2 linked regions of the Saccharomyces cerevisiae S288C genome follow. Changing the gene in region 2 together with the main gene of any one other region gives a genetic interaction. Each region holds a gene or a part of one and is shown on either strand. Other genes may lie near its edges. The genes, in order: INP52 and ROY1.

The links.
Region 1: of ROY1 (region 2) and INP52, extra expression of one rescues a mutant of the other (dosage rescue), as found in Saccharomyces cerevisiae (one study listed by BioGRID).

The regions. Positions count from the first base shown.
Region 1 is NC_001146.8:420,444-426,800, forward strand, and holds INP52 (phosphatidylinositol-3-/phosphoinositide 5-phosphatase INP52), read right to left. Parts: upstream 4,053-6,357; coding exon 501-4,052; downstream 1-500. Other genes in the region: YEATS domain-containing protein YAF9, read left to right, coding at 1-335; 2-isopropylmalate synthase LEU4, read right to left, coding at 4,452-6,311. UniProt on the Saccharomyces cerevisiae protein: Dephosphorylates a number of phosphatidylinositols (PIs) like phosphatidylinositol 4,5-bisphosphate (PtdIns(4,5)P2), but also phosphatidylinositol 3-phosphate (PtdIns(3)P), phosphatidylinositol 4-phosphate (PtdIns(4)P), and phosphatidylinositol 3,5-bisphosphate (PtdIns(3,5)P2).
Region 2 is NC_001145.3:782,109-786,181, forward strand, and holds ROY1 (Roy1p), read right to left. Parts: upstream 2,174-4,073; coding exon 512-2,173; downstream 1-511. Other genes in the region: tRNA methylation protein TRM732, read right to left, coding at 2,513-4,073. UniProt on the Saccharomyces cerevisiae protein: Non-SCF-type F-box protein involved in the endocytic with the vacuolar sorting pathway. Acts as a repressor of YPT52 by inhibiting the formation of active, GTP-bound, YPT52. Involved in the defense mechanism against methylmercury toxicity.

The sequences.
Region 1 (6,357 bases), on a different chromosome or scaffold from region 2:
GACTTCATCCTTATGCTAATCCTGTACCGAATTCCGACAATGGAAATGAGCAGAATACAACAGACCATAATAGTAAAGATGCAGAAGTTAGTTCTGTGTATTTTGATGAAATTGTATTCAATGAGCCAAATGAAGAGTTTTTCAAAATTTTAATGAGCCGACCAGGAAATTTGTTACCTTCAAACAAAACTGATGATTGTGTATACTCCAAGCAATTAGAACAGGAAGAAATTGACAGAATAGAGATCGGCATAGAAAAGGTTGACAAGGAAATTGACGAATTGAAGCAGAAACTGGAAAACTTGGTAAAACAAGAAGCCATTAACGGAAGTTAGGATCACTGCACCCGGAACAACGGTATTTTCATAACAGCCATAGTAATACAGATCATGGTTTGAAAGGTCGGCGCTCACAAAACCGAAATGTGTGCAGAGTCATATAAACATCTAAACAACAGTTATGATACATATTCTATAAATGCGTAATTTTAGTAACACAATTTAATTGGGGTCGCAAGGCTTCAATGGATGAACGCTTAGCTTCTCTAGTTCAGGGTTCTTCGCAGGAACTTTTGGTTTAGACTTTTTCTTGCAAGGGAGTTCCTCTTCAGATTTTGAATTCGACGGGGAAACTTTTATTGAGTGTTCTTGAGAGGTGTTAAGCTTGTTAGCAGCAACACTTAAATAATGCGGTTTTTTGACAACTGGTGGCTTCTCAGGTTTTGTGGAGGCCTTTGCTGGCTCAGGATCTTCTGTAGTGGACACACCTGAATTTTTGGTAGATGTAGAGATTTCGTCCGGGGCAGTACTGCTCTTCCTTCTAATAGGAGGACAAGGTCGAGGAACAATTTTCCCATTATCTATGGTCTCTTTAGCATGCTGTAATTCTGAAGAACTTTTCTGTAAAGAGACTGGCTTAGATAAAGATAAAGCGGGCACTGGCGGCAGTGGTTTGGGTGTACTGTGTCTCTCTAAGGCAGGAAGATTGCTCTCACCTTTACGCGGCGATACGCTGACAATGGAAATCTCTTTGGTAGGGGAAAGAAGTTTAGAAGATGGTTCCTTATTGTGCCTCGAGGTAGGAGGAGGCGGAGGAAGCACATTGAGCTTACTTTTATCGGGTGATACGTTACTGAGTCCTCCAGGGCCAACAACAGACGGTTGGGGACTGGGACCAGAAAGTAGAGGCGAAACGCACGAGGAAGTATCATCTAGGTCAATTAGTTTTATGCCCGCTGATTGAACGGTTGCATCTAAGGGTATACTTTCCTTTTGTTTTTCCATTCTTGCATGAGAAAGTTCGTCAGGACCTGTAGTTAGTGCTTCGGGATGCGTATTCTTATATTCTGCATACAGCTTCTCAACTAGGTTAAGCTTCTCTTTTTCGTCAACAAATTTCACATTTGCCCTATATGCAGCATAAACTGGTTTATGATCGCTTATTTTTAAAGGTGCGTCCGAATATGCCAATGGATGCAGGTTTTCACCTTTATATATGATTCTATCAGTCCAAGACGGAGTTCTCGCCTTTTCAGAAGTATCATAATTATCTGTGCCATAATCATATTTATAGGTCGGACGGAATTGGAGGGTCGGTTCTTTAAAGCCCTGAAATACCACTCCTTCATTTATTTCTTGAGTCAACTGATCATATTGAAGCAATCTATCAATATAGCCATCCTTTTGAGCCCTTAATTCTCTTCTAACTTCATCATTTGTCAAAGTTATCCTGTAGTTAAGGTCACCCAACCAAAACAACGAATCATGGTGTGGAATTGTCTTTGATCTTGGAAAGGTTATGTTCCTGTAGATATTGTTGTAGTCATTGCGACGTTCGTCAATGTTACTCGCACCTGCTGATAAATGTGTATTAACGAAACAGAATGAAGTTGCCCCATAATCGAATCTAATGGCTACTGCACCTTTGTTTCCAGTAATACCACCAAACCCAGTCTTTTTGGTAGACCCACCTACCTCTTTTATGTTATAGGCTCTATCTGATCTTGCAAAAAATAGTATCAAAAGAGAGGACATCTGTTCCACTCTAAGTAAAAGATATTTTTCTTCGTATTGATTCAAACAGTCAGTAACCATAGTTTCCCAAAAAGAACTTTTCGTATAATCTGCATTCAAGATAGACCCTGCGGTCAACTCTATAACTTCCTGCAACCCTAACACAACGACATCAGGTTTGAATTTATCGCCGATTGGAAATAACCATTTTGACAAATCTGCTCTTCGAGAGTTTCCGTTAACATTGAATGTACCGACAAACAAATTTATGTTAGAATGAGTGGTGAATTTTTCCTCTGACTCTAACAGCCTTTCATTGACGTATTCGCAGATTGGATCATAAAGTTCAACAACTTGCTGGTGCGGTAGTTTGCCCAAAAGTGTGTCAATATTTTGCTGTTTTCCTTTATCTACAAAATTGTTGATGTACATTCTACTAACGGACTTCGTCGCATCAGAAAGGGCGCCAGAAAAAGACATTTTACCTTTCCTTGAATAGGACGATTTCAGAGCATTTGTCCCAGTGTAAATTTGTGATATCTGATCTCCGTTGTCGGCCCATAAAGCATTCACCTTTTGCACAAATTCATTATCGTCGATGAAACTACTGGGTTTTACCAATCGGAAGTCTTCCAAAAATAGTTTGAAAACGGCCAGTGAAATCGTCTGTTGGATCAAATTTGTTCTATCTAAACAATCCAAGCAATTGGTTCTAAAGACACCGTCTTGTTCGGATATTAATCGCCCTTCTTTTACATCGTATGAAAAGTAACCGGCGTCCAAAATTGTGTTTCTTATTTTAGGGATAATCCTACTTGCAGCTGCAAACCCATCTTGCGAAGTTTCTCTATGGAAATCAAAGCTTGTTAGGAACACATCTCTACCGATTTTCATTTTCTCAGAATTTTTCAACTGTTCCTTGTATCGCCTCGATAATTGAATTTCTGAAGATTTAGTAGACAGCAGGTTGATTATATGAACTGGCCCATACTTCTTAAATAGTCTTATAAAATGTTCATCAAACGTGGGCTGTGTTGCTTCAACAGATCTGGTAATTTGAATCTTTGGACTAATCAAAGATGTATCCTGCTCCCAAAAAATTGGAAGGCTTCCTCTTATCTGCGTGAAAGCATAACAATACTGAGAAGAGTACATAATCATTTCTGTTTCAACAAAATTTGCGACATGGCCATCATCATCTATACCACGTGCATTAAACCTTGTGCCTGCTCTTTTCCAACTTTGCCTGGAAATAATGGTAAGTCCTACTTTCAACCTATTAATATAGCTAAAAATTGTTTCAGCAAACCCTCGGATTACGGTCGTGAGGAATCCTCGTTGATCCAATAGTTCTTTGGCCGTTACATCTAGTCTGTCTCTGTATGTGATGATTTCGTCCATAAGAAACGAGTTCCACATAAACTCCCGGTCAAAATCATCAAAACTCAAAGAGTGTTCCGTGAATCCACGTTTCTGCAATGTACAAGTTAAATCAAAATCGGTGCTGTAATAAAAAGATCCATTTGATAATAGCTTTCTTAGTTCATGACATGGATGCTTGGGAGCTTGTTCTTGAGCATTCAAACTCCTAGAGGAAGAAGAACGTAGCGATGATCTAGAAGAATGTGTGGAAATACTAGGAGGCGAGCTTATTGCAAAATCTCCATCATTAGTAACAATCGGATAACCGGATGAATCGATGTCCATGAAATCCCATTTAGAATTATTTAAGCAAAAAAAATCCACAGCATATATTTTGTTAACCGTTTTGTTTGGGATCGGCTGGGCCACCTTAGATTTACCTGTTATGGTTGCTATGAACATAAGGCCTTCAATTTCTATGAGACCAATAAAACCGTATATTTCATGGTTAGATAGTCTTCTGAAACCATTACCATTTAATTCAGCTTTCGGAACCAATTCCACGGCACATGTAGATCTGCGAGAGTTCTTACTGTTTATTGGCCTAAATACCAGTCCATGTGTTTCTGAAACTATTGCTATCTTTCTAGTTTGCTGTTTCGATAGGAGTATTTTCATAGCTACTGAGTATTTGTTTTTGATTCTGCTGCCTTTGCGTGGCCTTTGTCACCAATTCTGCGAACAAAAATATGTTGAGACTATATGAAGCGAGTACTTATTGTCCTTTATGCCTAGTTTTCCAGTTAAATCTCTCTTAATAACTCCAGGTTTGTTTCAATTTCGTCACTAACCGCCAAACAAGTTTCGGGTCACCCCACACGTATTTGGTTCAAGAATATACTAAAAAAAGAAAAACAAGCACTAGCCCTAGATATGGAAAAAAAGATATTAAAACGTAATTCTAATTTAGACATCCGTGCTTCTAGTAATTATATGGTTAAAAAAAAAGGAAAGGAAGTAAATAAATAAGTATAGAAATAAATAGAAGCGAATAAGTCCTGAAATACAGAAAAGTTCTTATGCAGAGCCAGATGCCGCAGCATTCTTACCTTCGACCTCGGCCAAAGATGGAATGGACACATCACCAGAATGGATAATATTGTTAATGGTGGCAAAGATGGCTCTCACTGAAGAATCACCGACATCTTCGGAGACACCTACACCCCATTTGTAGGCCTTTTCGTTGTCGGCATTACGCCTATACGATAGATGGATGTAAGAAGCAGCTTGCGTAGAAGAACCAGAACCTAGAGAATGCTCTGTGTAGTTTGCTACGGCAAATCTCACGTTCAACAAGTTTGATAGGGCGTCGACCAAAGAAGAGATTGGACCATTACCTGTACCTTCAATATCGACGATCTGGTCGCCTACTTTGACTTGACCAGTGAACACTCTACGTTCAGTGCCGAATTTTTCAACATTATAATTGACTAAACTAATAGCTTGGTACTGTTCGTCATTGTAGTTGTAAGCCTCTTTGAATAACTTGGAAATCTCATCTGATTTTAGTTCTCTACCCAAGGAGTCAGCATGGTCTTGAACGGCGCTAGAAAATTCGATTTGCATGTTTCTTGGTAGATCCAAACCCAAAGATCTCAAAATAACCCAAGCGGCACCACCTTTACCAGACTGAGAGTTGACTCTGATGACAGCTTCGTAATCACGGCCAATGTCCTTTGGATCCAATGGCAAGTATGGGATTCTCCATTGAGTTTCACCTTGAGCACGCTTCTTGTTTTGTAAGTTGAAACCCTTCTTAATGGCGTCTTGGTGAGAACCGGAAAAGGCACAAACGACCAAGTCACCGCCGTATGGTGCTCTTTGCGATACTGGGATCTTATTACAACGCTCAACCACATCTAGGACAGAGGTCAAGTCAGAGAAATCCAAATTAGGAGAAACACCTTGGGTATACATATTCATAGCAACAGTAACCAAGTCCACATTACCTGTACGTTCACCATTACCAAAGAGACATCCTTCTACACGGTCGGCACCTGCAAGCATACCTAACTCTGTGGCGGCGACACCGCAACCACGGTCATTGTGACAATGTGTAGAGATGCAAACCTTCTCACGCTCAGTAATATGGGTAGCGAAGTATTCAATCTGATCAGCATAAACATTTGGAGAGGCAACTTCTACGGTAGCAGGTAAGTTGAAAATGATTGGATTTTCCTCGGTAGGTTCCCAAGCCTTCTTAACAGCTTCGCAAATTTCTACAGCAAATTCACCTGGAGTATCACTGAAACATTCGGGGGAAAACTCATAGGACCAACGAGTGGCTTGTTGGGAAGGGTCATCCTTAGTTAGTTTCCTAACTAGTTTGGTGGCCTCTACTGCCTTGGAAATAGCTTCCTCTCTAGACATATTAAAAACAATTTCACGGAACATATCACTTGTTGCCAAGTAAGTATGTATAGTAGCCTTTTTAGCACCTGTTAATGCTTCCACCGTTCTCTTAATCAAGTGTTCTCTAGATTGGACAAGACATTGAATACTAACATCGTCTGGGGCGTTTTCTACAGCATATCTAGTGAAGTCGAAATCTGTTTGAGATGCAGAGGGGAAGGAAACCTCGATTTCTTTGAACCCAATATTGACCAGCTTGTGAAAGTATTCTTTCTTTTGTTCCACTGACATGGGATCCGGCAGAGATTGGTTACCATCTCTCAAATCTGTTGATAACCAACGAGGAGCCCTCGTGATCCGGTTATCCGGCCACTTTCTATTAGATAGCTTTGGAGCGTTAAATGGCTTGTACTTGGAGGAAGGGTCCTTAAGCATATTTTTATAGGCTAGCTTCACTGGAGGAATAACTCTTGAGGCTCTGGAGGCCGCATGCTCAGCAAGAGCAATAATACTCTCTTTAACCATGATTGTTCCTTGTCTTTTTGTAAGGAAAAAGTCTACAGTAAACTTC
Region 2 (4,073 bases):
AATAGAATACATGAAAAGTTATGATCAACATAAAAATGCTCTATACCAGATAGAATTTTATAAAAAAGGAAGAGAATAAAACGATAATAAAAGGAAAGACAGGTTAAACGATTGGAATGGGGTCTTCAAGTTACAAATCTAGAGGAAAGTGTAGACCTAGTGCAGCAATTGTAAATTTTGAACCTTTCTGTGGGGGGAGGGGTTTCTCAAAGTATCAGATAGTATTATGCACGGTAAATAAAGCCTAACAACAAGAAGTCCAAACAATAAATAACAACCGTTTCTGATCCTTGGATCGTATACAGAAGCTTGTTCATTTCAGTTTTTTCATTGTCTCTTCCTTCGGTATGCCTACCTTTCTGAAATATATGGTTATTATTCGAAGAACTCGTAAGGTCCGGGTAATAATTATGAAATGCAATAGTAAAATATAATTATTACTCAACTGGCTGTATATATACGAACTCCTTCAACAAATGTACATAAGAAATGTTTATCACAACTATCAAGTTTAATCATAAATAGTTTCATAAGTGTGTAATTCTGGGCTCACGCTAAAGTATATTCCTGACAACATAGTTTGGCGAAGGTTTGGCAATATCTTTATCAAGTAGTTCATGTAAGGATAAAAAAAATGCGATATAATAGTGGCTAAGGGCTCAAATGAGGATTCGTCAAAATAACATTCATAACTTGCAAAGTGATGAATTCTCTCAAAGCCATGGAAATTCCACGTCGTATCCTCAGGGGCATACTGTAGTAAATCCAAATCCCAGTTCTTCTGAGGATCAAACCTCTTAGCTAGAGATTTTCCAGTATATGCTGCAAACACTATCGGTATAATATCCAAGTATCTTGCATCCGGGGTCGAAAAGTATTGATGATTCATGATGTACTTATCAAATAATGGTAAGTATTTGGAGCAGAACGCACATTTGCAGCCGTTCCACAAAAGGTCACACGCATACATTTCATATGAGGTGATGGACTGCAATACAGTTGGAGCTATTATTGTTTCCAACGAAGTTAGCTTTGGTAAAACCTTTTCATAAAGTTTTTTACGGCGAAGCAAGTTCCCATCAACAGTATCAATGCCCTTGCCATTTAAAGGTGGGTCATGTCGTATGCTTAACAAACGCAAATCTTTACTCACGTTTGGTAAATTTAAAATAAACTTATTAACGACCAAGTCCCATTTCTCGTCCATGTAATGGTACCCTTTTTTGGTGAATGTCTTTTCAATGAACCCCAGACTTGTTAAGGAAACAAGGTTTCCTGTTATATCTTGAAGAAAGTCATCATCACATTCACAGTCGTCCACCTCACAAGAAAATTCTAATTCAAGGGCTTTAAGATTGGATAAATTAACTACATCCTTAAACGCGCGTGAAGATAATCTCATAGAAGTAGCACTCCCATCACCTTGTTTGTGAACATGATTAAGCTTCAAACGGCGCAGATTCTTGAAGCGGAGGTTCAGGGAATCAAAGTATTCAAAGACCCTTAGGCTTGAGTACGCTTCGTCCTTTATTTCTAACTCTCCTCCATTAAGTTGCTTCATTAACATTACACCCACTTCAGGGATTATTACGTTTTGCAAATCCAACGATTCAGGTAATTGCCATTTTAAGCTTTTGAAGTTTTGCCATAATTTGATACCATCAAATCCAGTTTCGCCATATACTACTCTCTTCTTTAAACTTGACAGGCGATAATACTTTGCTGAACATAACTCAAACAAGGTAGGATCCTTGATGTCAAGACTTTCAATCACGTCCAAGTCAGTGATTTCATTGACCAATCTTTGTAACAGTTGCAATCCTTCTTCCCTGTTGTGAAACAAATCCTCGTCAATAGTCAGCTGTTTTATACATTTTAAATGCGATGTCTCCAACAACCTTTCAATTCTATCATATAAAAATATGTCATTCTTGTCACCGGTTTTCAGAACAGATCTATAACCACTTACATAAGTTTTTCCCCCGTCCAAAAACCATTTGTTTGTTCTTAAAACAGGATTCTTAGTTATGTGAATATTGCTATAAAGACGAGGGATTGCAATCATGTCATGCATTTTTTTGGATGTTAGACTTAGGCTTAATAAATCATTTTGATTAAGAAATAAGGAGGCATGCGAGAACACTATGAATATATCTTGATCTTGGAATGCCATTTGTCAGTATTACTTTTGTTATATCATGTGAGCACAACTGTCGTTTTCACAATAGTTCAAATTGACTAGAGAGTTAGTAAAGGGGTACAACTTGCTTTTGTAATAGGGCACACCTTTAATTTTCCATCCATGAACATTTTTCAACAAAAAAAGAGGTGGAAAAAATTCAAAAGAAAATGACAACGGTAAAGAAATTAAATCAAGTTCCATCATTGTATTTAGAATAGAAATCGACATGCTTTGTAATAGGTTCCACAATGAATCTCGTCACTAAATCCACAAGTAGGTTAGAGATGAATCAGATTATATGCAAAGTATATATCTGTACATATTCATTATTTATAATTGGGAATAACTGATAATTAGGGGATGAACAGAATGTTTAGTCAGAACATTGATAAAATTCTCATAATCAGAAGGAGAATAATGTTGAATCAGTTCCTTTAAAAGCGTTATTCTTGAAAATATTTCAGCATTAGAGCACCAGCCGAGTGGGGAATCTTTAAAATCCTCGGTGTTGAAGTGCTCCAATAGAGCACTTTTTAGGTGATGTATCTGGTCTTTGTAACACTTTGAGATATCCCTTCCAGTCAATTTTATCATATTTAATATATGCATTGCCTTTTGTAGTTCGTTGATGAACTGGTTATCCTTTTCTATAGTAAATAGACAATTCTTCGCCGATTCTTCGGCAGCAAACATATCATATTCATTTAGATATTGAAACAACTGTAAACACAACTCTTCTACCACCTCAGAACTTGTGAATACGTCAACAAACTTTTTTGTGAATATAAGAGCGGTCACACTGGTGTTCCTGTTATATTCCCAGTCTGCAGTTTGAATAAAGTTCTTATTCAAATAAAAAGAAGCCTTTTCTCTTATTTCAGAATCATCGTCCCATAAGAAGTTGTACAGTTGTAATAGTATTCTGGAGTTCTTACAACTTTCTGGATAAGCAGTTAAACATTCTAAAGATGCCAATCTAAAATCTTTTGAACAAGAATCGGCGAAAAATCCTTGTAACAAGTTCCATACCTGGTGAAAGGTTTGCGAAGACAATTTAGCACTTAGTGATGAAACGGCAGCAAGTTTTGTATCTTCACTATTATTTGTTTTTAGGAGATCAGTGCAGGTCGTCAGGGATAAAGTATTCTTTTTTCTTGAGAGAATTTTCACTACTAAAGCTTTAGCCATAGGCAGCAAATCTGGAACCCTGAGTAATAATTGTAGTTGTTCAAGAAATTCTGAGTTTCTTGTAGTTTCCCAGTGAAAGTTAGTATTCATGTACTGTAGTGTACTGAGCTGAGCCTCATAAAATGGAGAATACAATCCTAATAAGCAAATATCATCGAGATATATACTATCCTCATATTTTAAGAGCATGTCTAAGATTTGTGCAAGATATAGCTGTTTGCTACCATCCACAACATATTCGTTATTTTCAGCAATAAATGTGTTCCGCAAAGTGCTGATATAATCTTTTAAAATAGAATCAGGTATGTCGCATGTTTCCAATATACAGCAGGTCAATTTTAAGTAGGCCTTTTTAGTGATAAAGCACTTGTTCTCTAGTAGAAGCATCCTTTTCTTTTCAAGTATCCTTTGAATCAACTCCATATCTCTAGTTCCTGAAAGGTATTGTGGTACTAGTTGTTGGAGTGCTAGTAAGTGTCCATGTAACTGGTTTTGCTTCGCGATAGAAGCCAAGTCAAGTAATTTTCTTATCTCTTCTTCAAAATTTTCCGACAGCATATGCAATACTCTAGAGGCCATATCTCTGATCTTCCAGTTCTCATTTGATAAACATTCATAAACAGAAACGTTGAATTCTTTTAGACCAGTATAGCCAGCTGTAGGCCGTAACCTCAGTAGCACATTAAGGACCAAGAAAATGCTT